7 linked regions of the Oryctolagus cuniculus genome follow. The protein of the gene in region 4 interacts with the protein of the main gene of each other region in a pairwise test. Links are inferred from orthologs where the notes say so. Each region holds a gene or a part of one and is shown on either strand. Other genes may lie near its edges.

The links.
Region 1: the proteins of EXOC1 (region 4) and CCSER2 interact in a two-hybrid assay, tested with the Homo sapiens proteins (2 studies listed by BioGRID and IntAct). The link is inferred for Oryctolagus cuniculus from reciprocal best matches to the Homo sapiens genes EXOC1 and CCSER2.
Region 2: the proteins of EXOC1 (region 4) and SPTAN1 interact in a two-hybrid assay, tested with the Homo sapiens proteins (2 studies listed by BioGRID and IntAct). The link is inferred for Oryctolagus cuniculus from reciprocal best matches to the Homo sapiens genes EXOC1 and SPTAN1.
Region 3: the proteins of EXOC1 (region 4) and TRAF3IP1 interact in a two-hybrid assay, tested with the Homo sapiens proteins (2 studies listed by BioGRID and IntAct). The link is inferred for Oryctolagus cuniculus from reciprocal best matches to the Homo sapiens genes EXOC1 and TRAF3IP1.
Region 5: the proteins of EXOC1 (region 4) and RESF1 interact in a two-hybrid assay, tested with the Homo sapiens proteins (2 studies listed by BioGRID and IntAct). The link is inferred for Oryctolagus cuniculus from reciprocal best matches to the Homo sapiens genes EXOC1 and RESF1.
Region 6: the proteins of EXOC1 (region 4) and SFR1 interact in a two-hybrid assay, tested with the Homo sapiens proteins (2 studies listed by BioGRID and IntAct). The link is inferred for Oryctolagus cuniculus from reciprocal best matches to the Homo sapiens genes EXOC1 and SFR1.
Region 7: the proteins of EXOC1 (region 4) and CDC5L interact in a two-hybrid assay, tested with the Homo sapiens proteins (2 studies listed by BioGRID and IntAct). The link is inferred for Oryctolagus cuniculus from reciprocal best matches to the Homo sapiens genes EXOC1 and CDC5L.

What each region holds. Positions count from the first base shown.
Region 1 is NC_091446.1:74,659,895-74,664,273, reverse strand, and holds the start of CCSER2 (serine-rich coiled-coil domain-containing protein 2), read right to left. Parts: upstream 2,859-4,379; 5' UTR 2,625-2,858; intron 1,946-2,624; 5' UTR 1,828-1,945; intron 1-1,827. UniProt on the Homo sapiens protein: Microtubule-binding protein which might play a role in microtubule bundling.
Region 2 is NC_091432.1:231,818,439-231,822,543, reverse strand, and holds the start of SPTAN1 (spectrin alpha chain, non-erythrocytic 1), read right to left. Parts: upstream 2,832-4,105; 5' UTR 2,680-2,831; intron 1-2,679. UniProt on the Homo sapiens protein: Fodrin, which seems to be involved in secretion, interacts with calmodulin in a calcium-dependent manner and is thus candidate for the calcium-dependent movement of the cytoskeleton at the membrane.
Region 3 is NC_091434.1:2,077,790-2,081,386, forward strand, and holds part of TRAF3IP1 (TRAF3-interacting protein 1), read right to left. Parts: intron 1,533-3,597; coding exon 1,461-1,532; intron 824-1,460; coding exon 748-823; intron 1-747.
Region 4 is NC_091439.1:108,641,444-108,645,724, forward strand, and holds the start of EXOC1 (exocyst complex component 1), read right to left. Parts: upstream 2,839-4,281; 5' UTR 2,699-2,838; intron 2,549-2,698; exon of another isoform or gene 2,514-2,548; intron 1-2,513.
Region 5 is NC_091440.1:128,140,515-128,144,908, forward strand, and holds the start of RESF1 (retroelement silencing factor 1), read left to right. Parts: upstream 1-1,534; 5' UTR 1,535-1,685; intron 1,686-2,696; 5' UTR 2,697-2,787; intron 2,788-4,394. UniProt on the Homo sapiens protein: Plays a role in the regulation of imprinted gene expression, regulates repressive epigenetic modifications associated with SETDB1.
Region 6 is NC_091446.1:25,895,580-25,899,747, forward strand, and holds the start of SFR1 (swi5-dependent recombination DNA repair protein 1 homolog), read right to left. Parts: upstream 2,803-4,168; 5' UTR 2,025-2,802; coding exon 1,937-2,024; intron 1,931-1,936; exon of another isoform or gene 1,473-1,930; coding exon of another isoform or gene 1,442-1,472; intron 1,274-1,441; coding exon 1,152-1,273; intron 614-1,151; coding exon 203-613; intron 1-202. UniProt on the Homo sapiens protein: Component of the SWI5-SFR1 complex, a complex required for double-strand break repair via homologous recombination. Acts as a transcriptional modulator for ESR1.
Region 7 is NC_091436.1:125,737,833-125,741,962, forward strand, and holds the start of CDC5L (cell division cycle 5-like protein), read right to left. Parts: upstream 2,804-4,130; 5' UTR 2,466-2,803; coding exon 2,421-2,465; intron 1-2,420.

The sequences.
Region 1 (4,379 bases), on a different chromosome or scaffold from region 4:
GATATGAGACATACTGCGTAGAGTCAAAATGTTTTATAATTGAATGAAATAATCAATTCTTTCAAGTCTAGTAGATTCCTTTTCCAACACACACTCAAGTTTCTCATTACCCCACTCAGATTATAAAACAATTAAGATTCACAATTAGGAAACTGGGGCAAAACTGAAATACAAAGATAATCAGAAGATGTGGACTGTACTTAGCTCTGTACTTTTCTATCTACCAGATCTCCAGCAAATTACTGCCCCTCAGGGTAGCACGGTGGTGTAGTAACTTAGGCCTCCACGTGCGAAGCCAGCCGGCTTCCCATATGGGTGCCAGTTCACATCCCGGCTGCTCCACTTCTGATCCAGCTCCCTGTTAATGGCCTGGGAAAGCAATGGGGGATGGCCCAAGTGCTTGGGCCCCTGTAATCACATGGAAGACCCTGAGGAAGTTCCTGGCTCCTGGCTTCAGATCAGCCCAGCTCTGGCCATTGTGGTCATTTAGGGAGTAAAACCAGCGGATGGAAGACCTCTCTGCCTCTCCTTTATTCTGTAACTCTGCCTCTCAAATAAATAAATAAATATTAAATTAAAAAAAAAAAAAAGGCTGTTACATGCCAGGCCCATTAACAAAAAAAAAGTTACTGTCCCTCAAAGCCCTGGGACCAATGCAGCAGCATCATTACTGGCCAAGCCCCGTTTTACCCCTGCATCATAAAATGGGTTGTTTCTTCCTGTCCTCAGATTTCATTCCTAACCAGCAACAATCTTTACTTCTAGTGCCCTGTGCAATCATCTTTTGTAGGTTTTCCCATATTGAAAGTCAGTCTAACACATTTCACCTATCTTACAGCTGCATTCACAAAAACGCATTCAGTCCACTTCCTGAGCACTTGTGCCACACAACAGTATGCGCTGGAGCTGCAAAGGTGCCTTTCCTAAGAAGCCCAAGAACCTGCTGGAGACAGAGACATAGAAAAAACACTACCAACCAACAGACAGTGTATTATTGGATCGGTCGATAAAGAAGGATGAGATGTCTGGACAAGACGCAGGTAATATTTTGGTAAGGTGTTGAAGGGCAAGTTGTTTGCAAGGCAAAGAAGAATTCTCAACAGAGGGAGCAGTGCAAAACCACAAAGGAAGATGTCATCTTCTACAAACCGCAAGGAGTCCTGCACGGTGAGTGAGGGCAGGCAAACCAGAAGGTGGACCAAGCACCAGAAACTGAGAATAAAGACAACGGGAAACCACTGAAGGATTTCCAGTCATGAAATCACACTCCTGTTCTTCCTCCATACGTCAAAGGAGCTGGGTCAAGGCAACAAACGCAGGTCTGGCATAATGTTTAAAAACATTTAATGGAGATTTCCTGCCCTGAGGATGGCTTCTAGCACTTTCTTGGTACGGCATGTTAATACAAGACTGAAGGAAAACAGTATGAATTATGGCTAAAGGGTTCAATCAAGTGTGTATTTTTAGCCTAAAGATTATTTTAAGTTAGTGTTGTTGAGAACAGAAAATAGTAAAGTGATTTAATAAATGAAGGTAAGCAAGCAGTAATAAAACTGAGACTGACTTCAAGCAAAACATTCAGGAATGTTGACATCCTTATCCTGATCAGATAAGATGTTTTGCACCTATTATTTGCAAAAGAAAGATCTTAAATCCCTTTGCTTAAGGAGCTTCTATCTCCACTCTACTAACTAGTCTACTAGATGATATTTTTATTTTTTTTTAAATGACCAAATAGGTTCTATCAATAATTAGTTCAAGGCCAGGAGAAGAGGGATGCCTTTTCGAACGCCTGGATTTAAAAGCCTGAGGCTCCGTGTCTCTCACCTATAGGAGTGAAACACCAGCATTTCAATCTGGGGCCACGAAGAAGAGTCCGTGCATCAGTAATTTCCACACTGCGAAGGCCTAGTCTGGGGACAGCAAGCCTAATTGGCTGGGCAGCCTACAAAGATGAATTTGCAATTATTGAGACTGGAACTCAAGCCGACCACCTCAAAGAAGTCATTCCTGCTTTCACTTTGTCAAAAAAAAAAGTGGGTGCATTAAAAAAATGTATAAAAATAACATGTTTTAGGAGGAGAGAGAGAAAAACATCTGAACCTACAAGGGACGGTGGGATTTCCGCGCCTCTCCCCACCCCACCACGGCCCAAGTTTTATCTCCGATTAGATTTTAGGGTGCTTAGGGTGTGTCTTTGTTTTGGCCCATTTATTAACTGTTGTTAATAAATATCCGCTCATTCGGGGAACGCCGGTACTTTCCCCATTAACCCTCCCAAGCATCCTGGCTCTTGAAATCACCGGTCTCCGAGCCTTTCGCCGCGATTTCCCCGTAGAGCAAGGCGGCAGCCCCAGCTGCCCGAGGCCCGGGGCGCTGCCACAGCCCCGCGGGCCGGGGGGCGTCGGCCTCCCGGGTCCACGCCCGCCGGCCTCGAACGCTTCGCAGGGGGCTCGGCAGGGTCGCGCGGCAGAGCTGGAGGCCGCAGGGCGCCACCGCTTGCCCCCGGACGCCCGGGCCTCTACCGCCACCGCAGATCGGACCGCGCCCCCACAGTCCCCAGGCAGCCTCCGGCGCCCGCCCTGACCCCGGCCCCTACTCCAGCACTGACCCCGGCCACTCACCGTGCGGGGATCGTGCTGCCTCCTCAGCTGCGGGTCGCCCAGCGACCTGTGGGCCCGAGGACGGAAGGTGAGACGAGAGGCCGCCCGTCACATCGCCGCCGATCCCGCCGGCCGAGCCGCAGCACCCAGCATCGCGTCCGCGGCCTGAGGGAGCGCCGGACCCCAGAGCCACCGCGCCCCCTCCCTCGGCCTGCGCCCGCCTGGACTCCGCCCTCCAGGGCCCGCGCACCGCGCGCGCGCAGCCCCGCCCCCTCGAGAGACGCTGCGCACGCGCCAGCCCCAGGGCTCTAGGCCCCGCCTTCGGGCCCGCCCCTGCAGCCCAGCTCTGGCCTCGGCCCACCTGTGGCCCCGCCCCGCCCGCTCGCCAGCCTCTCCCAGGCTCCGCCCCCCACCTCAGGCCCCGCCCCGCTCCGCTGACCTTGCCTTTCTGCCCCCTGACTCAGGTCTTTGCTCGGCCCAACCCCCGCCGCCTACCCTGGCTGGTGCTGACCACACCTGTGGGAAGCTGCTCGGACGAACATTTGATGCTCGACCGCGGTGAAACCTGTCAGCTCGTGCGTCCTCCAGGCTCCGGAAAGTCAGGAGCGGTCTGAGCCCTGGGACTGACCGAGGCCGCTCAAGTGCCCCTGCCCGAACCACGCACGCAGCCTGCCGCCCCAACACCCTGGTTCCGGCTGAGGCTGAGGGAAAAGGGGCCTCAGCCCTGAGTGCTGACATTCAGAACCACGCAGTACCTCCGCGCGCCTGGGTTCCTTGTGCCAGGAACCGGCTCCCCTTTGGGGTTTCCATTCCCCCAAAGGCCACCCCTTCTCCTCCTCCCTTCCTCAGTGGCCGGACTTGATTTTGAGAGCTCTCTTGCTTGGAAACCTTATGCATCAGGGTGGCAGTTAGAGCCCTGGAAGCGCCTTCGTTTGTCGGCCCCAGCAGCTTGCTGCAATGAATAACATTTAAGGGGAATGTGTTGGAAAAATACCCACTTCTAACATGTCTCCACATGGGTTGTACATGTGGAGGTTGTACGTGGCCGGGGGATTTATAAACCCACATTTCATATAATAATATACTCATATATTTAGAAAAAAGCCTGACATTTTCTAGATCGACCTCTGTATGTAAAGACTGAATTTTTGGATAATAATATGTGTGCTTAATATGAGAAAAAAAAAGTAGGTCTAAAAGGCTCCACACTTTCAGGATTAAGTGAGATCGCTGCAAAAGCAAACGCCAGACAGAACTTGAGCGCATCCTTTAGATCAGCACTGGAGAGAGGCATTACTAAAATGCGTTTTGGGGTTTATGCCGTCTGCTGGATGGAGAGATGGTAAAGAAACGACTCCCCACAGCCTGTCCGCGGAGCTAAGGAAGGTGCTGCGTTCCCAGTAGCCTCCAGAGGAAGTGGGAAAGAAACATCAGCAGGAAGAGCTTTGCATCTCTGAACTGCTGGGTTGTCTCCGATGACTCCCTAAGTACTTGGCCTGTCATGTGAGCTCTCTGCAGTAGGCAAGTTCGAAGTCACCTTCTCTTCCTGCTCTACAAAGGTAGGCGGCTTCCTGGGTGCTTGTAGGAGTAGCCCCAGCTTCATCTAATTTTCTCTATGTCTATTTTGCCTTGGTCCCAATTTCCTCATTCCCTTGGTTGTCATTATGTCACATTGATTCTACTTCTGTTAGCCACTACTTTCTCTTTTCTTTTTTTTTTTTAAGGTTTATTTTATTTATTGGAAAGACAGAGTTACAGAGAGACAGAGAGAGAGAG
Region 2 (4,105 bases), on a different chromosome or scaffold from region 4:
GCTGTGGTGTAGCAGGCAAAGCTGCTGCCTGCAGTGCTGGCATCCCATACGGGCGCTGGTTCAAGTCCCACTCCTGATCCAGCTCTCTGCTATGGCCTGAGAAAGCAGCGGAAGGCCCAAGTCCCTGGGCCCCTGCACCCATGTGAGAAACCTGGAAGAAGCTCCTGGCTCCAGATCGGCACAGCTCCAGCCGTTGCAGCCATTTGGGGAGTGAACCAGCAAATGGAAGACGACTTTCTCTCTGCCTCTGCCTCTAATTCTGCCTTTCAAATAAGTAATAAATATCCAAAATAAATAAATAAATGTGTTACTGTAGCCAAGTCGTTCCCTCTTTTGAGCCTGTTCTCTCACTTGTCAGAGTAATAATACTGAACATACTTTTTAGAGGCAAGGTTTATTGTCGGGTGGAGGAAGCCTGACAGGCGTGAATTGATATATTTTTTATTCTTTTGTGAATAAACTTTTAAAACTAAACATGCCCTCCCCTTGACCCACATTCTGATAAATTAATTGAGAACCCCAGGACTGGATTCCTAAATCCCTTCATTGATTTCATGAAATCATCAGAAACTAAGGACTGGAGCCGCAGCGCACTGCCTTGGGCCTGGCTGGCACACGCCTTTGACAAAATACTATTTCCTGTTCAAAACTGGTGCAGGAGGAATATGCAAAGCAGGTGGAAGGGAGGGGACGGTTCACGGCCCAGCTGCTCCAGTCAAGTGGCTCAAGTGATCAGCTATGCGGTCTGGGTCCTCCAACACATTCCTGGAGTCAGCAGGGCCACCAGGGCGCCGCATTCTTCCACTGCTCGGCCACAGCTGATGGGCAGACGCAAACCCGGCTGCGTGACTGCTGGAGGCCTCCCACGGCCACAGAAGACTGACTGTAAAGGCAGGCGCCCTGGGGCCCGCTGCCCTACGTGCAGGTCCAGCAGCCACAGGACGGGGACTATTCCTGAGGACTTCTCCCTCGGGATCTGCAGCCAACCCCACCCCGGGACGAAGGCAAGGAAGGAGAATCCTAACCCAGGGAACCGAAGGATCCACTTCAACCGCTCACCCCACCTCCGCCTCCCCGTCAGATCGCAGCCTGCAACATATCAGATTCCTCCAATTACTAGATTCCGAGGAAACACACTGCCAAGACCAAAAGCCTATCAGGGAGCCAGTTACCAGGCCCCAGCCTACCCCCAGGACTGCTTCCCCTGTCTAGTCCACAGCAAATGCGTGGGTCCCTGGAGAGCAGGTGACACACTTCGAGGGTCCCTCTGGGGAATTCCCAGCCCAGTTACTAGTAAAGGCTTGCTGTTCATTTCCTATACAGAGGCCCTGGTGGCGGGCGGCATTTTTTTTTTCACCCTGCCGCACGTCTTTTAAACTTTGACTTCGAGGTGAGTTTTCAACATGGAAGACATCGGCTGTCAGGAAAGGGAATTAAGCCCGGTTCCAGAAGCGGGAAGCCCGGCTGGGGGCTCCGCACAGCCCAGCGTTGGCCGCCAGTCTTCAGGTCCGCGTCGCCTGGCTGCGGCACCCCCTCTTCCATCTTCGATGCGTTCTGTCTCACTTGAGTCCAATTGCTATGACGACGCAATTTCTCAACACATGGAAATACTTCAGATGGTCTCCCTCTATTCTTCCTGACAGCCATGATGGCAAGTTTTTCTGAAATTCCATGATGAAGCCAGAACAAAGGGACTGAGTATTTTAGGGTCTATTATATAAGAGATCAGAGGTCTGCAGCAGCGCGCCCATCGCCCCGCCCCAGCTTTCTGGGCTGTGCAGACTTCTCAGAAATAAAGCAGAAACGTATTCATCTCCCACCTTTGACAAGCCCCATATCTAAAATACATTTTATTCCCATACACGAGGCTTTGAAAAGCAATTTTCTTTGGGAAGCGTCTTAGCGAACTCGCAGGATGGTTTTCAAACAAAAGACTGCTCTGTCATTCCGCGCTAGCCTGGTCGTAGGGTTTTTAACAAATTAATATTCTGCCCTCCCCCCCTGAAAGACTCCGTCTCAGAAAAAAATGAAAGGGGAGGGGGCGGCCTGTAACCTATTATTTGATTCGGGTCTCAAACCAAGCCAGTGCAACATCTCCCCATTATTTGCCAGCGAATCCCAACTGGGGAGGGAAATGTCCATTACAGGGAAAGAGGAGGCCGCCACCTCGCCCTCGCCCAGACAGGGTCCAGAATTGCCAAGAAGGATAAAACCGAGGTCGGAGAGCCCCGGGCCGCGGGCCCTGCCTCCCTCGAGGGTTGGGCTGGCACTGCTGGTGGGGATCCGCTCAAGCCGCTCCCCAGCCAGGAAAGGGGTCGGGGCGATGCGGTGGGGTGCGGTGGGGGCGCCCCGCAAGGAGGCGGTGGCCGGACCCGGACCAGGGAGCCCCCAGCTACCTGCCGAGGCCGGATGGGGCAGCGCCGGGCCGCGGCCGGGCGCAGGGCGAGGGCGGGGAGGGGCCCAGCGCGCCCCCTCCCCCCGGCCGTGACATTCCAGCGCCGGCGCCCGGGCTCGGCCCACGCGCGCCGCAAAGGCGGCGGCCGGAGCGAGCGGCGAGGCCGGCCCGGCTCACCTGTCCGCGCGCCGCCCCGCCCCGCCCGGGGGCTGCGCGGCCCCCGCCCCGGGGTCGGCCGCCCGGGGCCCCGCTCCCGCCCCGAGCGTCCCCGCGGCCCTTCTCACCGGCTCCTGGTCGGGGGCGAGGGGCGTGGGCGCGGCGCGCTGACGGCTGCTGAGGCGCTGAGGGACCCAAGCGGCTCCGCGGCCTCCGGTCCGGTAGTGGCGACGACGCGCGTGCCCCGCCCCTTTTATAGGCGGAAACGCGCGCTCCCGCGGCGGGCGGGCGCGAGCGCGGGGGAAGCGCCCTGCGCGGCGCGAGGGGGCGGAGCTCCCGCCGGCTCGCCGCCCGAGCGGCCGGCGGAGAGGGCCGAGCGCTCCCGGAAGCAGCCGAAGCGGCGATGCGGGGGGCGGGGTGGGGGAGACGGGGCGAGCGGGGGCGGGTCCCTGGGGGATGGGGAACTGGGGCGCGCGCGGGGGGCGGGGGCGGTGGCGCAGTGGAGCCGCCGCCCCCGCCCCGGCGGGCCGGGCGGCGCCCTCGCCGCAGCCCGCGTCCTCCAATCCGGCCCGGCGGAGCATCTGCACCGCGCCCCGTGCCCCCGGGAGCCCTTGCGGGACTGCGGCGAAGGGCGGGGCGCGGGCGGCTGCCGCAGTGTGGCCGGGGATGCTGAGGTCACCCGAGCCCCGCTTCCTCCCGGGGCGGAGGCCGGGGGCGTCGCGAAGGGGAGCGTGGTTTGGGGGTCCCGGGGGCTGGAGGGGGTGGGCAGAGGCGGAGGCCAGATCCAGACCGGGAAAAACGAAGCCGACGGATTCGGGGGCCTGATGGCTCCTCACGGCTCGCGTCCGTCGCGTACCTGGGCTTGACGCTTCTTCCCCTGCAACGAATTGAGCTTTGCTTGTGTGCCAGGCACCAGGCTAAGATTCTGGTTTTATTTTTCTAGCCGTTGCAGTTATTTTATGAGGTAGATAGTCTTTAAAAAATCACGTTTATTTGAAAGGCGGAGCGACAGAGAGGGAGAGGCAGAGGGCTCCCATCCCCCGGCTCGCTCCCCAGGGCGGGTACTGCCCCCTCCGGGGCCAGCGTGACCTGGGGGCTCGGGTCCGCAGACGCGGGCTCGGCGGTGTGGACCCTGCCTCCCAGCGGCTGAGGAGGGACAGGATAGGCGCGTCCCCCAATCTCTGGGGCTCACTGCCCTAGCCGTCTGCGGGCTGGGGTCCCTGCCCTGGCGCGGGGGCAGCTGGGGGGCTGCCCCGGGGGACGACCCCAGCTCATGCCCGTGCAGTCAGGCCCAGGAAGGAGCAGCCCTCTTGGAAGAAGCGTCGAGGTGCTGGGCTCTGCAGCAGAACCGGGCCGGGCCTCTGCGGTCCGCCCCGGCTGGGTGATGGGTGGGCAGCTCCTCTGTGCCTGCTCCATAGCTGAGACACGGCCACACCCCAGACGCAGCTAGACGCAGGAGCTGCGAGACATTCCCTGCAATCTTCTGCATGAAAAAAAAAAAGAAAAGAAAGAAACACACACACACACACAGGGCCTAGCAACTCCTCCCCGGGG
Region 3 (3,597 bases), on a different chromosome or scaffold from region 4:
CCAGTGATTAAATTTTCCATGTTTCCTCTCTGGAGGAGGCGCGAGGCAGAGGGACAGCCGGTGGCTGCAAGCTCCCAGGCCCGCCCTGGGCCCCACAGGGCAGGGGCTTCTGGCACACGCACGGTGAGCTCAGCACGCGTGTTTCACGACAGCGACCACAGGGAGGGAGAGGAGGACTTTCCAGAAGCCACCACCACTCAAACATCACTCACGTCGGCCTCCACACCAGCGGCTCCACAGCGCGGCCCGCACCTGCCCGCCGCGCTCAGGCCGTGTCTGCAGCCTCTCTCGTCCGCTGGCCCGAGCGGCTCCCGGCAGACCCCGGGCAGGGCGCCCCGCCGTGCTTTCTGTTTTCGGTGCAGAAACATCATCTGCCTACCAGCTCCCACATCAGCCTGCCCTGATGGACCACAGCCTGCCGCTGCCGCTGCCGCAGATGGGGGCCAAGGAACCCCGCACGGCTCACCGGTGTTTCTGGACCATGAACCTGGATCCCACCCTCTCCAATCACCCACGTTTCCAGCAAAGAGGGCTGACTCCGCCCCAGTGTTGTGAGCATGCACATGTGTGCACACGCATGCACGTGCGTGTGAATCACAAACCCCATGCTTCCCACGGTCACTGCTTCTTCCCAGACGTGGCCGATGCGCGCCCCAGCCATGGGAGTTTCTTCCAGCTAGACTGTTGACAGAGGCAGGGCTAGACATATTTCTAGCTTCTCACACGAGTAGAGCAAGTCAAGCGTACCTTCCACTGAATTTCTGGATTGCCGTTTCGACAGCTTTGATGTCAACGACTTGGGTGCTCGAGTGGAAACCTCAGTCTTAAAGAAAAGAGAACGAAAGAAAATCAACGGATGGTTACACAGTGAGCCCAGAGCTTCTTCAGGCTCTGCTCGGGGAAGCAGCAGCCTGAAACACAGCCCCGGTGCCCCCCGGCCTCCGACGGTGCAGGGAGGCACTGGAGGCCGAGCGGGACCCCTCCCTGCGCTCTCTCTGCAGAGCCCTCAGCCCTGCTCCCAGAGGCCCCAGCACCACACCCTGCAGGCGCAGGAGCACTTCGCCTCACAGGGACACGGCGCCAGAGCCAGGCGGTGTGCTGGTGTGAACATCGCGGAGGGGACTTCCCCAAACCACGACGGCACAATAACCTCACAGGGCCACTGCGGGATATGCAGTCTGTCCCTGGGCAAATCGCGTTAAAGGGTCCCGTGGCTGTTACACTGGTGAAATGCATCTGCAAACAGCTCTCACAGGAAGAGTTCACACACCATGCTTCAACAGCCCAATTCAGAGAAAATAGCAGTCACCCAGGAGTGCCGGCAGATAATCGGCCTTCTGTTTTGGCAGCCGGTGACCCCCACGCCATTACCAGGACAACACAGAGAAGTGGACCTGCCAGCACACAGCACTCCCCTCACCACAACCCCCCCTTTCCCCTTGCTGTCCTTGAACGTCTACCTCTGTTTCGGCTTTGGGGTCTTTCGAAGATGCGTCTGACAACTTTTTAGATATTTCCCCGGAGCTTGTTGACTACAAAACAAAATCACATTTTAGAATTATTCACATCTGTAACATCTGAAAATGCCTCAAGGCTTTTTTTGTTTTCTTTTTTGAAAGGCAGAGGTACAGAGAGAGAGGAAGAGATGGATTCGTGCACTCCCAAAGTGGCCACAACAGCCAGGGCCAGGCCAGGAGCTTCTTCCCGGTCTCCCACGCAGGTGCAGGGGCCCAAGCACTTGGGCATCTTCCGCTGCTTTCCCAGGCCACAGCAGGGAGCTGGATCAAAAGAGCAGCCGCTGGGACATGAACCGGCACCCACATTGGATGCCGGCATCGCAGGCAGTGGCTTTACCTGCTGTGCCGCAGCGCCGGCCTCGCTCACTGGCCCACAGCAAGGGCATTCCTCCCTTCCTCCCACAGAGCATCTCATCACTGCTCCAGCTCTGACACGCTGCTGCTGCCGCTGCGACCCAGGGCCCTCCAGAGGGCAGATTTCATCCCAGACAGGCAGAGCAGGTGGGCAAGGACCAAAACACTCCCGCCTCCCGGGAGACCATCTGGAACACAAAACTCCACGTGGGGCCAAACTCATTGGGAACACACCCCGGTGAAATACGGGGATGGAGGTGAGGCGTGCAGTGCACAGCACACCCAACACCCCCAGGAAAACTGTTCCTGTGTTCACAGGGCCAGTTAGGATGGAGCGGCCCCTCCCGTCCTGTGCTCACAGAGCCAGTTAGGATGGAGCGGCCCCTCCCGTCCTGTGCTCACAGGGAAACATCAGGTCATGTGCTGGGATTGGCTGATTCTTTTTACGCAAACACTTCAGACGTTAGGTCAGGAAAACACTCTCATACATACGTGGAATCCATCAATACCAACTCACACCTTAGACCAAGTCTCTAAGAAAACATCCCGGGGCTGGTGCTGTGGTGTAGCAGTTAAGGCTGGCATCTGAGAAGCCAGCATCCTTTATGGGTGCCAACTCGAGTCTGATCCAACGGCCTGGGAAAGCAGCAGAAGATGCCCCAAGTGCTTGGGCCCTCGCCACCCACATGGGAGACCCAGAAGAAGCTCCTGGCTCCTGGCTTTGGCCTGGGCCAGTCCTGGCCATTGTGGCCATCTGGGGAGTGAACCAGCAGATGCAAGATCTCTTGATCTCTCTCCCAGTCTCTCTCTCTCAGTCTCACTCTCACTGTCTTTCTCTCCCTCTCTCTGTAACTCTGAGTTTCAAATAAATGAATAAAATCCTCTAAAAATAAAATCATGATTATAAACAGAACATATTATCAACAAAATTTTCCTCCGTAAAGACTACAAAGCAAAGAACACCTATTCAATCTCTCAATAATGAAACATCCCTGTAAGTTAAAGATGAGCACACAAGATTGTATCAGCAGGATTACCCGCTGTAGGTCGGGCACCACGCACCTGTTCCCAGATCTCTGACACCTTCGGCTGCTCTGTCAAGGGTGGGGACGTGCAGATGGGCTCCGTGCCACCCGCTACCCCACCACTCCACCTCCTCAGAACAGCTCCTCCTCCTCTCTTCCAGACAGGGAGGTGGACATAGCAGAGTGCGGGTCAGAACTTGGTCTGCTGCCTCCCCAGGCGGGACCTGACCTGACGCGACACTCGCACTGGGGCCCGGGGAGGGTCTCGCAGCCCCTCACACCTGCACAGTGCTCGCTCTGTGCTGCGACGATGCTGCCACTTCAGACGCACAGCTGTGCAGGGCCCCAGCCGGAGTCACCAGGAGACAGAAACCGGACTTCTGTGCTGACGGGGAAACAGTCACTCTGCCACGTCCCAAATATTTTCAAACAAAACCATCCCTCCTACGCAGTCTAACACATCCCCAGACACCAGCCAGTAAGACGTTCTCCTTGGACCCTCCTCTTAACTAGAACACAAGTCCCAGCCTCGGCAACTTCAGTGAAGGTGAAGGTAGCACGGAGCCCGGCCAGCAGGCCCAGAGCCCATCGGGGCTGTCAGTCAGCATCTCGGGGCTCTCAGGAGAGGCGAAAGCCGGGAGTCTCTGTGACGTCCAGAACTCACCCGCAGAGCAGGCTTCGCCACGCGTCCCGGGGGGAGC
Region 4 (4,281 bases):
GCAGTGATCGTTCAAAGAGTACAATCTTGTGAATACACTAAAGGACACAGAATTATATATTTGAAAAGGCTGAATTTTATGATATGCAAATTATCTCAATAAAGCTGTAACAAAAGTAGGCTGCCACTTATTTCCCTTTTCTCACATAAATCGGTGTCTTTTTCAAATGTCAATTTAAACTATTTTTTAAAAACGTCTCAATTTCATTTTTCAAGCATAAGGGACATGTTTGTATGGCTATATATCAGTATTTTCCAATGCAAATGTGAGCTTGCCTCGGACATTAATTTCTGCTAGTAACACCATTTTTTATGGGAAAATGAAGAAACTGTGAGTTTTATATATACGATTTATAACGCCTTTTTATAACACGACCCCAGAATGCCATCTTTGCATTTCTGTTCCTCTTTCAGCTCATCTCAGCCTCAGGTCTCCTCACTCTCCCACCCTCCCTCCCATTATTCTTGTCTATCTGGCCCCCAAGCCAGGCTACAGGCAATGTTCATCTCCCAGTACCCACACTATCCTCTTTCTTATTTTACCCTCTTGGTAGACTGGCTATCCTATTTTATCAAGAAACCTTGAAAAACCTACATGTTTTTCCTCTACTTCTCTTGAGCTATAAGATTCTATGTTTCAAAGCCATATACCCACGTGCATTGCATTCGTTTCTAACAGATCCAGCTAAAACTGGACTTTGAAGGCAGCTCAGCAATTCTTTAATACATTTATTGCATCACTACTGTTTACAAATCCTTATTATCGTCTTTCAGCCTGCAACCGTATTGTCAGCCTCCTCCCTCTCTGCATAGGACTTCACTGCCTACTCTGCAGAAAAGAGAAGCCACGAGGTACAATTCTCCCCAATTCTTCCTCTTCCATCTCTCTAACCATTCACCCATCCCACTCAAAACGCAGCATCCATGCTGCCGATCCCTTCGTACATTCCAAGGCCTAGACACTGTTAAAGGGGCTACTCCACTCTCCGCCCCGGTCTACTTTTCTATCTCTGGGCTTCCGTTCACGCAATTTCCTTTTCCTGGAATTCCCTCTCCCCAGAGATTGCAACTCACTCCTTAGGATCCTGCTAGAGTGTCACCTCTTCCGGGAAGCAGTGTTTCCCGAAGCATACTTCCCTTTCTAGGTCTCCAACATCCCCCCACCCTGCACACAGCGCGCTTCGGATCGTCTTTTCTGACTGCTGGTATCAGCCTCTCCCATCAGAAACAGTTTCTGGTTGGCAAGGACCGTTTCTCATTCACCTTTGTATTCCTAGAACTTTTGGCAAAAGGCACCCAGCAGGCATTTAATAACTAACACGAGAGCACCAAATAACCAGCAGCTTTAGCTTCCTCAAGACCCCCCCGCCTTCGTTCAGCAAATGTCGTGTTCAGAACGTCCTGAGTCCTTCCTCCATGGTCAACAAGAAACCTGCTGCCACATTCTGGGGCTTCCCCCCATCTACAGGTACATTCCTTCCTTTATGTCCCCGCCATGCACACAGGAACCCAGGCCCACACCCACTTCTACCTGTTCAACAGCACAGCATCTGGGTATCTCTTTGCAAGCACCCACAACCCTGAATAACAACCATATAACTGGGGGGGGGGGTAGATCTCATCACACCACACCCTTGTTCAGCATTTTCCTAATACAAAGCATCCACTTGGAAGCACTCTGTTCATTTTGGGCTCTAAACCTCTGCTTCGGCACTTCCCCATGCGGGAAACATCATCTCCTCCCTACCCAAACCCTAACACCACCACACGGTTTACATGACGCTCATTCAATGGTGATTTGAATCCGGACTCATCTCGCCGTGCACCTGCTGCACGGACTAAACCACTGAGCATTGGCGGGGATCAGCAGCTCCTGGCTCTCCAACCCTCTTAGAGAGAGACACGCTCAACTAGATGTGAGTACTAAGCAGGTACTTAACACCTCTCGAGGGAACCTGAAGAGGAAAAACCGGTCCAAAGAACCACTCACAGCGGCCAAAGTCACCCTCCCGGCAACAGCTAGGGCTGAGCACCGGGCACATGAGGCGGCTGGACATCACTCGGCACTTACTGATGCCTACCCAGGGCCAGGCTGTTCTGGGCCCCAGCGGCGGCTCCCGTCACGCAGGTGCGCGCTCAGGGGGCCAGTCCTTGGAGCGCTTTTCTGTAAGCCACTCAACAACAGGTCCGCCCTGTCCCGGCCCGGGGACCCGCGGCTGCTACGCTCCAGAGGCAGCCCGCCACTGCCTAACTGCGTGTCGCTCTTGTTTTTTAAACCCGCTGGGACCCTCTCGGCGCGCTGGCCGACAGCCGGTGACCCTAAAGGCGCGTGTGGGTTGGGACGTTTCGGGCACGGAGCACGGTCATCCACAGGAGACCGTGCACGGAAACAGGGGAATGCATTTAACAGACTCGGGGTGGGGGGAGTGGACTTGGCCAGCGGAAGGGCGGTGTCACGCCCTCCTCCGCGGGGCGACGCCGTGGACAGCGCGAGCACCGCCGGTCTGCACAAACCTGGCCGCGAGGGGCGGGGCCGCAGCGGGACGAGCGAGCGCCGCCCTCCCCGCTCCGCAGCCTGCGGGACCCGGGGAGCGGGGCCTGACCGCCGAGTGGGCGGCGGCTGCCCGTCCGCTCTCGGGTCCGGCGCCGCCGCCGCCGCCGCCGCCGGGCCTGCTGGGCAGCCGCGGCCAGAGGCTTACCGCAAGGCCGGACCGAGCCCAGCTGTGCCGCGGCGGGTCCTCCCAGACGGAAGCGGGGTGCGGCCGCTGCGACCACCGCTCCCAGGCTGTGCCCCTCAATTAACCGGTGAACGGGAAGCGGCCGCTCCTCACCGCTTCCCATATCCGGGCACGTGACCCGTTCTGCGCCGGAAGTGGATGTCTAGAGGCGGAAAGAGAAGTGGCGGGATCCAAGGAGCGACCGGGGAACGCCGGCCGGGGGCGGGGCCTCGCCGGAGGGGCTGGGCGGGGCCTCGCCGGAGGGCGGGGCGGGGCGGGGCTTCTGCCCCACGGGGACTGACATCTGCTGCCCTGCGTTTAACAACCCTACACGAGCTGTTTATTCTGATATTCACAACAATTCGCTTAAAAAGCAACCCGACTGGTTTCTTTATATGTAAAACTGTTGACTGTAGACCCTTGCTGCTTACATCTTGGAGATTTAAATGAGTTAAATCATAAACTCGGGGTTGGGATCCAGACACAGTACTTCGCACTTGATCTTTGCCAAAAGGCAATAATACTTTGAATATCTTCCTAGATGTGTCTAATACGCCACTGACGTTAAGAACCATCATGCTTGTGACCTCGATACTCCAAGTGTGGTCCACGGAGCAGCTACCAGGGCATCGTTCGGGGGCTCATTTCAGATCTACTCGAGCAGAATCTGCAGTTGGGATGATGCTTACGACATATAAGACTGAGGGTCAGGGATGATGCTAGTGTTGCTGGCTGGGAATCAGGAAATTGAATTATTCCATTTTTTGATTCATTTATTCTTTTGAAAGAGTTATGGGGACAGAGAGACAGAGACAGAGAGTGAGGTCTTCCAACCGTTGATCAGTCTCCAAATGGCTGCAATGTCCAGCTTGGCCGATCCAAAGCCAGGAGCCAGGAGCTTCATTTGGGTCTCCCTTGGGGGTTCAGGGGCCCAAGGACTTGGGCCATCTTCCACTGCTTTCCCAGGCCATTAGCAGGGAGCTGGATGGGAAGTGGAGCAGCTGGGACTTGAAGCTGCATGCCGGCACCGTAGACGGCAGCTTTACCAGCTACACCACAGCACCGGCCCCTAGTCCATATTCTTGACTCCAGGTGCAGAGGTGGTTTAGACATGAATCCTGTTCTGAAAGAGTTCACAATGTGGCAGGACCAGACAAAGAGGAATGTGAACAAGGGAGTCACTCCCTGTGCTGGGGCTGGAGTCGCCGAGGAAGCCAGGACAGAGATGGGCTAAATGTATTTCAGTATTTGTTTACAATGTACCTGAATGCTTTTCTCTTTGATCAGATTGATTCCCTCTTAAGAGTAGGATCGAGGCCGATCTAAGAAGTCCTTCCTGCTTGGTACAGAACACCATTGTGAACATTCCATAGGATAATTACATGTGATTTTTGGTCCTGTTCATTATCTTCTGTTTACCTGTGTCCCCAAAGTTAGCAAATAACTGAATTTCATAGGTCTAGACTCCCTCCCCAAGTTCCAGACTTATTTCCACTGTCTCGCCACCGTATTTCCACATGGATGTCTCAAAGGCACCTCACACTGACTCACATATGCCCCTGAAT
Region 5 (4,394 bases), on a different chromosome or scaffold from region 4:
GGCTGCTACATCAGCGAGCTTCTATACAAGCTGGCTACTGTCGCTCCCCCTCTTCGCGGAAGAACGACACAGGACCCTGCGCTGTTCTTTCGTCTGCTCGGCCCTCCCCGGGTTTGCTGCTGGTTCTTCCCGGGTTGGCTGCTGGTTCTTCCCGGGTTGGCTACCGTCCCTTCCACCTCCGTGGAAGGGCGGTGCCCCCTGCCACTTTCCCCACTTCCGCGGGGGAGCGGCACACCGCCCGCCCGGCTCTCTCGGGGGCTTCTCAGGTGTTCCTCTTAGATGTTCCTGGTGCATCTTGTCTCTCTCCTCCTTTATAGTCCTCTTCCACCAATCCCAACTCTGCTACCCACATGCCGAGCACGCTGCTCTCCTCCAATCAGGAGCAGGTCCTACTGTTTATTGGTTGAACTGGAGGCAGCTGTGTAAAAGTTGTTTTTACTCCTCTCCCAGCGCCATATTGTGGGAGAGCAGATGCGTAGAATAAGTCTTAATTCGAGTAACTTAGTCTAGTCCGAGTTGCTCCCCACAGGCTACAAGTAATTTCCAACTCAGAGCTAAGCTTTTTGAAAAGAAACCGTGTTTTTACTTCTCCCACTGCTGTTCATGCAAACTGAATTCAGTGTGTTGCTTGACTGGATTATATGATTGATCCATTGGTTTACCATTGGATTAAGAACTTGACATTTGCCTCAGTTACTCACGGACACCCCCAGTTTCCTTGGGTTTCTTAGGCCCTGTGACTTCCTGGAGTTGATTTGACTGGGATGATCAATAAGGCATGAGATTGTGGAGAGACACAAACTGTGACTTGGGTGACCAAGTAAGTTTCTCTATCAGGACCGGGCACGTGAGCAGGAAGCTGGAATCTGGAGTGGAGCCGGGACTCGACCCAGGTTCGTGATGTAAGGACAGAAAAGCGGGACAACGAGGAGACAGAACAAGGACTCACAGCTAGAATAGGTTTATTCAGAGACAGACCAGAGAGGGGCTCCCTCCTGGTGAGCGTGCAACAGAGAGCCACCTGGGAACACACAGCAGGGAGGGAGTGGGCCCGCACAGACTGGTGGCTTATATAGCTTAGTGGATGGGACGGCTTGGGAGGAGCTTGGCTGGGCTGGGCTTCTGAGATAGTGGCTAGAGCTTGGGCTGGAGGCAGCTCCCTCGAGAGGGGTGTGGCTGGTGAGGGTCTTAGAGTGGGGGGAGCTGGGGCTAATGGCTGGACCCTTAAGATGGGGTTTGGCCGACGGTCCTAGCAGGGCAGGGCTGAGTGAGCTGAAGGGGACCGCAGGGAATTGGGGTACTGCTGCCAAGCGCGCAGGTGACAGGCGAAAATAGCTCTAAGGCTTTTGTTTCTGACCGCTGTGCCAAAATTCTGATGCAAATAAGAAGCGAGAGGCTCTTCACGTGGCTCAGCAGCTTTCACCGGAGCCCAGGGAAAGTGCTCTGCAGGGCCAGCGGCGCGGGCCCGGGGCCCTGAGCGCGGCATCTGGGCGGCACTAGGACCGGGAGCGGGGCCGCCCCGCGCCGCACGCCCGGGGCGGGGCTCAGCTGTGCGGGAAGCCGGGGCCGGGCTGCCCGGCCCGCCCCTGGAGGCGGACCCCACTTGACTTAAACTCCGGGGCCGGGAGGCGGCCGCGTTCCCCTGCCTGCCTGCCTGCCGGCCGGGGCTGTCCTCCGCGTCCGCGGTAAGTGGGCGGCCGGGTACCGCGCGGAGCCTCGCTCGCCTCCCGGGGACGGCCAGGCGGGGCGCCGCGGGCCGGGGCCGGGCGCGCTGGCAGCCGCGGGCTTTTGTTCTGCGGCGCGGAGCGAGCGGCGGCCGCGGGCAGCTCCAGGCCCGGCCCCCAGCCCTCCGCGCCCTCGGGCCGCCGCCCGCCGCGGTCGCTGCCCGTCGGGGACGCAGGGGCGGCGGGGCCGGAGAGGACACCGAGCCCCGGGCGCGGGGCGGGGCCCGGGCGGGCGCACGCGGTGTCGCGTCGCGGCGGACCGCTCTCTGTCGCTGGAGTGGAAGAGTGGGGAGAAGAAAAAAGGACCAAAAAACCCCCCACACCTTTGTTTTCCTTTCTGTGTGTCCCCGCCCCTGTGCAGCCGAACCCGGGGCGCGGGCGCTCGGCTCGCGCGTGCAGGCGACCGTGGGCGCGCCCGTGCGGAGGAGCCGGGGTCCCCGTGCGCGAGTTCGCGCCTCGGGCAGCTGGGGCGGCGTCCCGCGGGATGCGCGCTCCCCGGGGACTCGCTCGGTGGGCCTCGAGCGCCTGCCTGCAGGAGGGAAAGCAGGTGATGTGAGTCTGCTCGCCGCACGAGCCGCTCGGCAGCTGCGGGTTTCTGCAGAGCGTGTTGACTCTCAATCAGGATGGAGTTGCACTGAGTGACGTTCCTCCCTGCCCCCTCCAGCCCCGGTAGTCGCGTTCCCTTTCATTAATGCCAAAGGAACATCGCTGAGATGGGACGTTTCTGCTCCGAACTGAGGGAACCCGGAGAAGTGTATGCATTGTAACCTAAGGGAATGGCGTTTTGAGCCCAGATCTGGCTTCTGTCCCGTTCTAGCACCCTTAAGAATGCAGTGTGTTTACTGTGCTTTCAGGGCAACCTTAAGGGACACAGCTGCACAGTCATGTGTCATGTCAGGCAAACGCGTTAGCTAGCGGGTCCTGCCACTCATCACACAGTGATTTTTTTTTTTTTTTTTTTGCTCTCCCTAGAACCAAAGAAGTGTAGATACTGTGTGCACTTAGACTGGCACGTTTGCAGGGCAATGGAAACAAGCTTACTAGAGAAGAGTTCTAGTTGAAGGTAAGTGTGATTTAATCCCCTGACCCTTCCCTTTCAGCGAGTAATTTATCTGTTGTGGAATAAAATGATTAACTCCAGATCAACACCGGTTGAAAATTAACCACAGGACACAATGGGGGTGGTGTTACAGCTGCAGAAGGAACGGGGTAGTTGGTGTGGTGCTGAGGATCCAGCCCTTCATCGCGGCCCCAGAAGGAAGGGGTTGCTGGGGCGGTGGAGTGAGTGGTGGGGGAACCAGTCCTGTGCAGGCCGAGTGATGGTCTCTGGGCATCCACCCTGCAACCCCTTGCTGTGCCACCTTGGGAAGATTGGCCCCTAACTGTGTTCTCATCTGTAAGAGAACAGTAGCACCTACCTCATGGGATTACTGAGACAAGGCACGTGGGTTTCATACACAGAACACGCTTAGAACAGGTCCTGGCACGTAGTAAATGCTCTGTCCATCTTCACTGTCCTCATCATGGGCAGTGTCCCGCCATCTGACAAGCTTACACTATCTTGCAGGAAATTCAGTGCACTCATTTTTACCAGATTCTTGAGCTGTGTGTTGATTAAGCAATCACTGTAGATCCTGCGGGGTCTTTTTATTGGAGGGGGAGGTGGTCCTTCTGTTAGGAAACACCAATCACTTGTTGGCCACAGAAGGTTTTGCCTGCAGCCCTGTTGGAAGCACAGAGTGCCCGCCTTGTGTTCTGTGGAGGTTGGCTTTTTCTGGTTACTTTCTGGATTATCAGCGGTTTATTTCAGGAGCTCTTGCTTAGGGAACTGATCTAGTCCTGTTTCTTTAAAGGTAAATTTCAAGAATCTTTGTTTTGTCTAACCAGGCCAGCTCCCCACCCCCAACTATTCAAGAAGACACAGAAAGCATTCGGTTTGAGATAAAGGAAGAGTCTCTGACCAGCCCTGGCCATAGAAATGCAAGTTAAAGTTTCAGTGAAGAATCCTTGAAAGGAGGAGGAAGTAGTCTAAGGAACCTTGAGAAATTCCAAGAGCATTGTTGTGGGCGGCCCTGCCCTAAGTACTTGCAAATGCTGGGCGCTGGGGGAGGCTGGCCTGCAGAGGCTAGTGTGTCAGTGAGACCAGAACCACGCTTTTGCTGCTCTGTTCGAAGCCTCCCAGAATCTGATGACAACTTAGATTCTCCTGGGATGGATCGGATTACAAGGCTTCATTTATAAATAAACTCTTGTGGTTAAAATTGCAAAGTGTGTTTAAAGAAATTGTATTGTCCAATTAAGTGTTAAGAAACAAAGTATAGTCAGATGGTGTGTGCGTTTTTTTTTTTTTTGGGGGGGGGGGTAAGCCCCAAGGGAGAATTTATTAGGTTACGTAATTTTGAAGTTGTGAATGGAACCAGAATGTGAATCTGAAAGTCTTAAAGACTTTGAACAGAACAGTATCTGTGGCCTCTGCAGAGATGTCAGTAGATCCCACAGCCCTCCCTCCACTGGGCGGTACTGCCCTCTCCAGATGTGTATCTAATCAGCTGCAGGCAGCCTGGAGCAGGGCAAACAGCCGCCGGCTCCACTCTCCACTCTGTGCTTGAGGGTATCTGTGCTCTAACAGGGATGTGCTGAATTTTTTTTTTAAAAAGACTGAGAGATTTC
Region 6 (4,168 bases), on a different chromosome or scaffold from region 4:
GTCCTTGGACCCCTGCACCCACGTGGGAGACCCCAAGGAAGCTCCTGGCTCCTGGTTTCGGATTGGCGCAGCTCTGGCCGTTGCGGACATCTGGGGAGTGAACCAGCAATGGCAGACCTTTCTCTCTCTGTCTCTACCTCTCTGTAACTCTTTCAAATAAATAAAATAAATCTTAAAAAAAATTGTTAAAAATTCCTCTTACCTTCGATCTATACATTTTGACTAATTTTAGCCTCCGAAGAAGGTCCTCTTTTTCCTGAACCTGCTTCACCAATTTTGCTCTTTCTTCCTTCAGTCCTTGTATAGGAAGATTCTCCTTCATGAAGTCATTTTGGAGAACACTGCATGACCCTGTATCAAGTGAGGTAGCTTCACATGCACTGACGTTCTGGAATGTATTTTTCAAATGCGTACTTTCTTCAAGTTCACTGTCTATGCGTTTAAAACTTTCTTGAAATTCCAAACAGTTTTCTTCTGTGGCAGAGGGTGGCTTCTCTGACAAGTTCTGATCATTTTCTTCATTGTCAACTTTAAGACGTTTTACCACACTGTAACAGGAATTAAATGAAAATCTTGTTTTCCTTAATCTTTCTCTAAGTGTTGCACTCATAGGCTGAAAGGAGAACAAAATATTAAAAATGTTAACCAAGTCTTCATGTAAAGAAATGTGCTAGAAATAAAAGCCTTACATTTCTATAGTAGACACCACTAGGGGGCTTTCTGTCTCCACATATCTAAAGTAACCATCACAAAATGTCTTTAATTTCCAGAAGTTCCATTAATTTTCCTCTCTACCTCAGCCAGGTCAACACCCTTCTAAAGTCATCCCAATAATCAAACTTCTCTCAGCATCTAGCCCATACCTCCTGCTACACCAGATGCTATAGGATAGCAGACTGAGGAAAGACCCACTGCCACCAAAGTCCTTCACCGTGATAATACCGCAGATCCAGACTTCCTCACTTTGGAGTGTTGCAATAATCTAATCCGAAACTAAATGAATTGGCTCAGTATGCAAATCTGGAAGGGGCTGGTCACACACTGTATCTTAGAAGAAACTAAATGACTATTTAACAAAATATCTGCACGTTAATGAACAATCTTTGGAGTTAAACCCCGCCGATACTTAAGACTGAATAAGATCTCCGTACTTGTTTTCCTGAGCTCCTTGCAAGGGAAGATGGCGGATTCGCACAGGCCTGTGGGGTGCTAGGTGCAATCACCGCTGAGTCTGATGGGCTTTCCATCTTGAAAATGAAATCTTGGGTTACCTCTAGAACCAGAAAAAGTAATTATGAAATGGGACTCAAAATAACCATACCTTTCTAAAGTCCTCCATTTTTATCCAAGTATTTCTTTATTGGGCCAGCAGTTTTTTGTTTTTTGTTTTTTCTTCTAATTTGTTAGTTAATTCTCGCTATTTTTGGAGTTTTTCACTTACCTTCCCACACAAGGACAACTAGTTTTTTCATGACAAATTAACCTACTAGTATCTCATAGAAACGAGACTTGTTAGCCATGAAGTATCTTCCAAGTCTCCATTACGGGGGCAAGGGAGAATAACAACTTTAGATAGTGATTCTTTCGTTGTGACAGCTTCATAATTAAGAGACATGGCCTAAGTGGGCTCAAAAGGCATAATCGGACCTGAACTTGTCAATCATCCCGAACCCTAAAAGCCGCTTGACTAGAACCAGGCGTTAAGAAACAAGAAAATATAAAGAAAAAAAAAAATCACGCCTGTCTGCACTTTCAGAGTAAAAGCGAACAGACACTGAAGAGGGAAGTCGACTGAAGCTGTCCCTTCCAACTCGGTGGGGTAGAACCAGAGAGGCGGCCACTCCCCTTTCCCCCATGCAGGGAGCCCGCCGGCCCTCCAGACACCCCAGGCCTGAGGGAGGGTCGAGGGCCCCCGACTGCGGAAAGGAACCTCTACCTGGCTTTTCAGCAAGCCCCCGAAGCCCAGCACTCAGACACCCCCCTGGGCCGAAGCACGCTACCGCCCTCCGCCAACCCCACAGCATTCAAACACCGCGCGGAGCCGCGGCCGTCAGCCGATGCAGCTCCAAGGGGCGGGGCCGCACGGGAGCGGAAGAGACTCCTGATTGGCTAGATTGATGCGCGCGAATCCGCGTGTCCGGAGACCCCTAGAGCGCGCGACCGCGAGCTTCCGCCAGGGAAGGTCATGTGGCGGGGCGGGGCCGAGTCGCGTGATTGGCAAGGTTGACGGGAACGCGCTGCCTCGCCCCGCCCGGCGTCCGGTCTGGCTCCGGAGTCGGGCTGAGAGCTTCGGGAGTAACTCATGGATCCTGAGGGGGCGCGCTGGCGTCCGCGGCGGCCCTTCCCGCTTCCTTGTTTCTGTGCGTCTGTGAAGTGCGCTCGCTTGTGTCCCCAGCTTCCGTTCTCCAGGCTCCAGCCCGTCTGGTCTGCGCTCACCTCAGCAAAGACTGTTTTCAGACGTGGCGGGGCCGAACGCCGCCCGGCTGGCTAGGAACTCAAGTCACAACTCTCAAGACCACGGAAGAGCAGCGTTGGGTTCCAGCCCTTGGGGAACAGGCTTGAGAGAAATCGACCCAGGGGTGCCGACACAGTCGGCCGAGCGGATCCCTAGCCCTCTGCTGCCACAAACTCGGTTTTCCAAGTTTTTTTAAATTCAAATATGAAGGGAGAGGAAGGCCAGCGCCACTTGTGGCGCAGTACAGGAAGCGCAATGCCCTATCCAGAACTCCGACGCTTCAGACAGAAGTGGCCGCGGCCGAGCGCAGGCCGAAAACCCCCTCGGCTTCCGGTGTGGCGCGGCTGTTGCTAGGCAACGGCGCCCGCCGCTCCGGGTGGGGCAGCCGAGCCGGCGCGGCGCTGAGCGACTTCTGACTCACGTGGAATCCGGGAAGTGTCCGGGCGGTGCGCTCAGTCCTCTTACGGAAGGGCCGTTGTAAACGGTGACACCGTCTCAACGACGTGATAAAAATGGCCCGGAAATAGCCAAAAGGAAATTTGAATCCTAAGCAAGCCAAGTATAAATAAAGAGCCCAAAGACAATCTAATGCAGTGATTAGCGGACGTAACCGCCCAAGTCACATTGTCGAACTCCACATCCCGGCGCTGTATTCTGTGTGCTTTCTACTGTGGTGTCCGTGTGCCTCGGTTTCCTGATCTGAAAATCGGGACAATTCCTGCCTCCTAGAGACTGGAGGATTAAATGGGAGCTCAGGAGAGGCAGCCACAGCAGTGCCAGGTAACTAAGAAGCGCTCACTGTTCTTTCATACGTGCAAATGCATTAATTAACCATCCCCAAACTGATTTAAAGGACTGCGTTACGTGAACTTTCATCCCTTTACTTAACTCTGCCCCCCAAAACAGAGATTTAAAAAATAAAGATGCCGTGATCTGTAAGATCCCACACGATTTAAACCATAAGTAGAAAACTTGCACATATAATTTATAGTATGTTATACCTCTAAATTTTTCAAAAATTATATAAATAGGGGCTGGTACTGTGGCGTATGGGTAAAGCCGCTGTCTGCAATGCCGGCATCCCATATGGGCACTGGTTCGAGTCCCGGACACTCCACTGCAGATCCAGCTGTCTGCTGTGGCCTGGAAAAGCAGTGGAAGATGGCCCAAGTCCTTGGGCCCCTGCACCACTTGGGAGACCTGGAAGGAGCTCCTGGCTCCTGGCTTCCGACCGGTGCAGCTCTGACCATTGCAGCCAATTGGCAATTGGGGAGTGAACCAGCAGATGGAAGAACTCGCTCTCGCCCTCTCTCTCTCTCTGCTTCTCCTTCTCTCTCTAACTCTTTCAAATAAATAAAAATCTTTAAAAATTATATAAATGTACAAAGTGAAAGCAAGAACTCATGCTGTTGTGATACAGTTATTCATCCCCCCAAGCTACAGGTCTCAAGTCTGTGCAATTATTTCTCCCTTCACTTATCCACTGGCACCAATTAGTCTCACTGCAAAACAGAACAGAATGATTTGTCCTGACACTGGCAGCACAATGCAGACTCTGCATGTTCTCTATTCCTCGAGGCATAAGGGTGAGTTGTTTTTATGAGTCCCTAAAACCAGCTGCTTTTATCATTACAACCTAACCGAGGGCTGTGTTTTTGCTGGCTGCATAAAGCAAAACAACAGCTTGCCTTGCAGATGTTCTGACTTGCTTTG
Region 7 (4,130 bases), on a different chromosome or scaffold from region 4:
AGCCTCTATTTGCAATGCTGGAATCTTGTATCTTGGAGCATCAGTTCAGGTCCCACCTGCTCCACTTCTAATCCAGCACCCTGCTAAATGTGCCTCAGAAGGCAGTGCAAGACAGCCCCAGTGCTTGGGCCCCTGCCACCCACATGGGAGACCTAGATGGAGTTCCTGGCTCCTGGCCTAGCGTGAACCAGCAAATGGAAGATCTCTTCTCCCTGCCACCTCCCTACCCCCATCGCTCTTTCAAACAAATAAAAAATAAATCTTTTAAAAAAATAAATATTTCAAATGTACTTAAGAAATAAGAATTTTTAAACACACAAAAAACCTCACTGACCATAATGATAAACAGTAAGCAACCAGCAAAATGCAAGAAATTAAGAAATTCCTTAGGACATCTTACTGTTCCTTATAAACACACACCCAATTGTGTGTGGGAACAACCACCTCTGAGCAACCCTACTTTCGGACAGAGATTAACAAAAAGTATTCTCCAATATGTGGCTGTCATTCTTCAAGCAGGCACAGCTCATTCATTTACACCTTCACTCAGAAAACACTTCCTGAACACTTGCCTTGCACCAGGTCTTGTATACTTGGGGAGAGAATCGAATAGGACACATCCAGGCCTCAAAAAGCAAGTTGGGACTCAGATGAAACCACTCTCCAATTCACACTTCCTGCCTCCAGTTCAAGCACGGCCTTTCCTCCCCAGCCCCATCCGCCCCACCACGACCCAAGAATCCACATCTCAGATTAGACCATATCTCAGTTCTAACCTGAGATTCAAATATTTCTCTCCACAACCCCTCCCAAGTCATCTCTCTCCAGTCTCCCCCAGACTCTAGATACTATTTCACCAGGGCTGCCACCCAAACACGGAATGTACCAATCCCAGAGCAGCCTGGCAAGCCAAGCCACTGGCGCGGAGGACGATGGAGCCAGATGTGAATGCACTTGAGACATTTCACTTGCAGGCTCTGTTCCACAGCCAACTGTAGAAATCTGTCAGCAGATTTGACCGTAGCACAGGAATCCTGCTACTACTTGATTTTTTCACGGGTCTCTCCCTCACAAGTCAACTCCTCTCCATTCAAACAGCCTAGTTCCCTCAGCACAAGGGAGGGGACTTGCACTGCCTTCATCTGTCACGTGGTGCTGCACCTCTAATACTTAGATCACAGCTACGTCCCGCGTACCCGCCGAGATGCATTCCACAAACATCTGCCAAGCAACCTACTACTTCACGCTGGTTACTCTCCTGTGCTCCAGGAAGAGCAGGACCTGTTCCCCTCCCCTCCCCCAGTGCTGTCTGGAGAGGTAAGAGGTGCCTAGCACTGGCTGAAAGGCTACTGTGTTCCCGACTGTTCCAAATGTCCCAAATGTGGCAGCTCACTTAATCCCCACAGAAACATGAGGAATCTAAGGCTTGGAGAAATGGAGAAACCTGCCAGCATCACTCCCAAGGATGTGACACTGGCAAAAGTCAAAGCAAGCCGACAACAAGTGGATGACAGGCACCGTGGGCCCACAGGGGGGTGCTACCAACGCTCACAGGCTGAACAGGCGAAGATTTGGCCGCCAAGGGCTTCTGAACCAGGTCAGGAGGATGCCAAGCGGGTCGAGGATACCGCAAGGAGGCACAGAGGTAATAAAAGACACGAGATAAGCCGTGCTCAGAAACTGATCGATCCAGGGCACTCGACACGAAACGCACTCAAATCTCATTTCTGTCTTGCTCCCTTTCTACTGCTCTCCGGCTCTCAGATGGCACGATCCACTACGACACTACCCGCAGCAGTCTGTCCTATCTGGCTTCAAGCCATGCCAAGGCGGAGAGACGGGAAGCTAAGAGAGAGACAGGCCTTGGCATCTGTCGGGAGAGCGCGCACAGGCTGTGCCTGGCTGACGGATAAACCGACGGATGCAGGAGAAACGGGCGCCGAGAACTCGGTATGCAAGCTGCTTCCCCTCTCTGCAAGAAGTCAGCGAAGAAACAAAGTTGTGGCTGCACCAAGTTCTTTAGTTTTGGGGTGCCAGAGACAGCCGCGAGCTGAGGGGGGGTAGCGTCCCGGAAGATCACCTCTCCTGGATGTCCCACCCCTCCTGCCACCCAGTGGGGACCTCGGGGAAAGGGGGCCGGGGCGGCGCGGCCTCGACTCAACAAATGTTCGCTAAGGGCCTAACAAGTGCCTGACGGTGAGCTCGGAGCCGAGCCGCCGGTCCTTGGGGCGCTCCCGTCACCCCTGGCGGGGAACAGCGCTGAGGCGCCGAGGGTCGTCGGCCCTGGCGCTGCGCGGCCCGGCCCACCCCACGCAGACCCCGCAGGGCATCCTCGTCCGCTCCCCGGCCCCCGCGCGCGCGCGTGCGCACAAGCTGCCGGAGGGGGCGGAGGGCAGCGGACGGCGGGAAAAGAGACTCACCTCGGTATTTCTCCACACGCCGCCCTTGATCATAATTCGAGGCATCTTGGCGACAGGTGGTCTCGGCAAGCGGCCGAGAGGAGCTTCAGAAAAGTAGTAACGGCGCTCCGGTCACGGGACCCAAAGCCGCCACTTCCTCCAAGCGCGACCTTCTGCTTTGAAGAGATCTGCGCAGGCGCAAGGAGGTGGCGGGGGGGGCGGTGGCAGAATAGCAAGTCTCGCGATATCTCGGGAGGCTGAAAGGTTAGAAGTGCTTTCTCAAAGCTCTAGTGTACAGACTGACAGAAAACCATCAAACTGCTGTGGCCGTAGCGCCGTGCGCCGCGCGCATGTCCAAGTCAGGCTGGAGGAAGCCATGGCTCTCGCGAGACATCCGCAGCGGCGGCCGGCCCGGCGTCGCGGTGGGGTTGGTCATCGTGACGTCACTCGGCGGTGGGGGTGCAGACGGGTTGTGTGTGGCCTTGCAGAGTAGCCGGTCCGGAGAAAGCGTCGCGAACTAGCGCTTTATTGAGCGTTTCGCTAGTCGAGTACGCAGGAGGAAGAGAACAGCTTATCTGCGGCTCAGTTTCCCAACCTGTAATACAGAGTAGTAATAATAGCCCCCACCCAGTGGGGTTCTGCTAAGAAGTGAGGTCCTCAGCGGAGTGCAGGGTCTGACAGACGACTGTTCCCAAAAAGCGCCGCTGCGATTCCAAGGAGGGCAGCGCCTCCACCTGCCCCCGGGGAGGGGCGCAGCGGCTGTCCCGGAAGCCCCCACCGATGTCCCCTCAGCGTCTTTCATCCATCGCCATTCAGTCTGTGTGAATTAATAACAAAGACCATTATGGGCGCTGGTATTAAGGGAGCCGGACTCGAGTTGGGCCGGAATCTTGGCTGTCTCGTCAGCGTGGGTAATACCCGTGCTGAATCTCAGAGTGCTCGTCTGAAAAGTGGAGCCAGCAACACCGGCTTCAGCAATCGGAGGGGCAGGATTAGCTGTGACAAACCAAAACCTAACCTTGGATAAGGGTTGTCCAGCTCTCCGCCACCCCACTTCCGAGTTACTCAGACATCTTTCCCATTTCAGAACATCGCTTTGACGCCAGTCCTAGGAAATATGAAAATATTTAGTTAATGGATGAGGAAAGTCCTGGGTCTTTATATAGTGCCTTGCTCTTTAGGTTTTTTCATTTCTCCATTTGCGTCTTCTGGAAAAACTACAGAATGTTCTGATAATTTTTTTATCTTGAAATGGGAACTTTTTAGGTGTTTTTAATAATGCTGATGTCATTTGTTGGCATAAAAATTATTCAGATACAACAGGATATTTTTAAGATTTTTTTTAAATTTATTTTTTGAGAGGTAGCTTTACAGACAGAGAGGGCAAGAGAGGTCTTCCATCCACTGGTTCACTCCCCAAATGGCTGCAATGGTGGGAGCTGGGCCGATCAGAAAGCAGGAGCCAGGAGCTTCTTCCGGGTCTTCCACGCGGGTGCAGGGACCCATCTTCTATTGCTTTCCCAGGCCATAGCAGAGAGCTGGACTGGAAGAGGAGCAGCAGGGACAAGAACCAGAGCCCATATGTGATGCTGGCACCACAGGCAGAGGCTTAGCCTACTATGCCACAGCACCAGCCCCACAATGTAGTGTCTTTAGAATGACTATACTTTATATTCTGTGTATTTAGTCAAATATTTTTCTCATAACTCCCAATGTGTACTTGATCTCCCT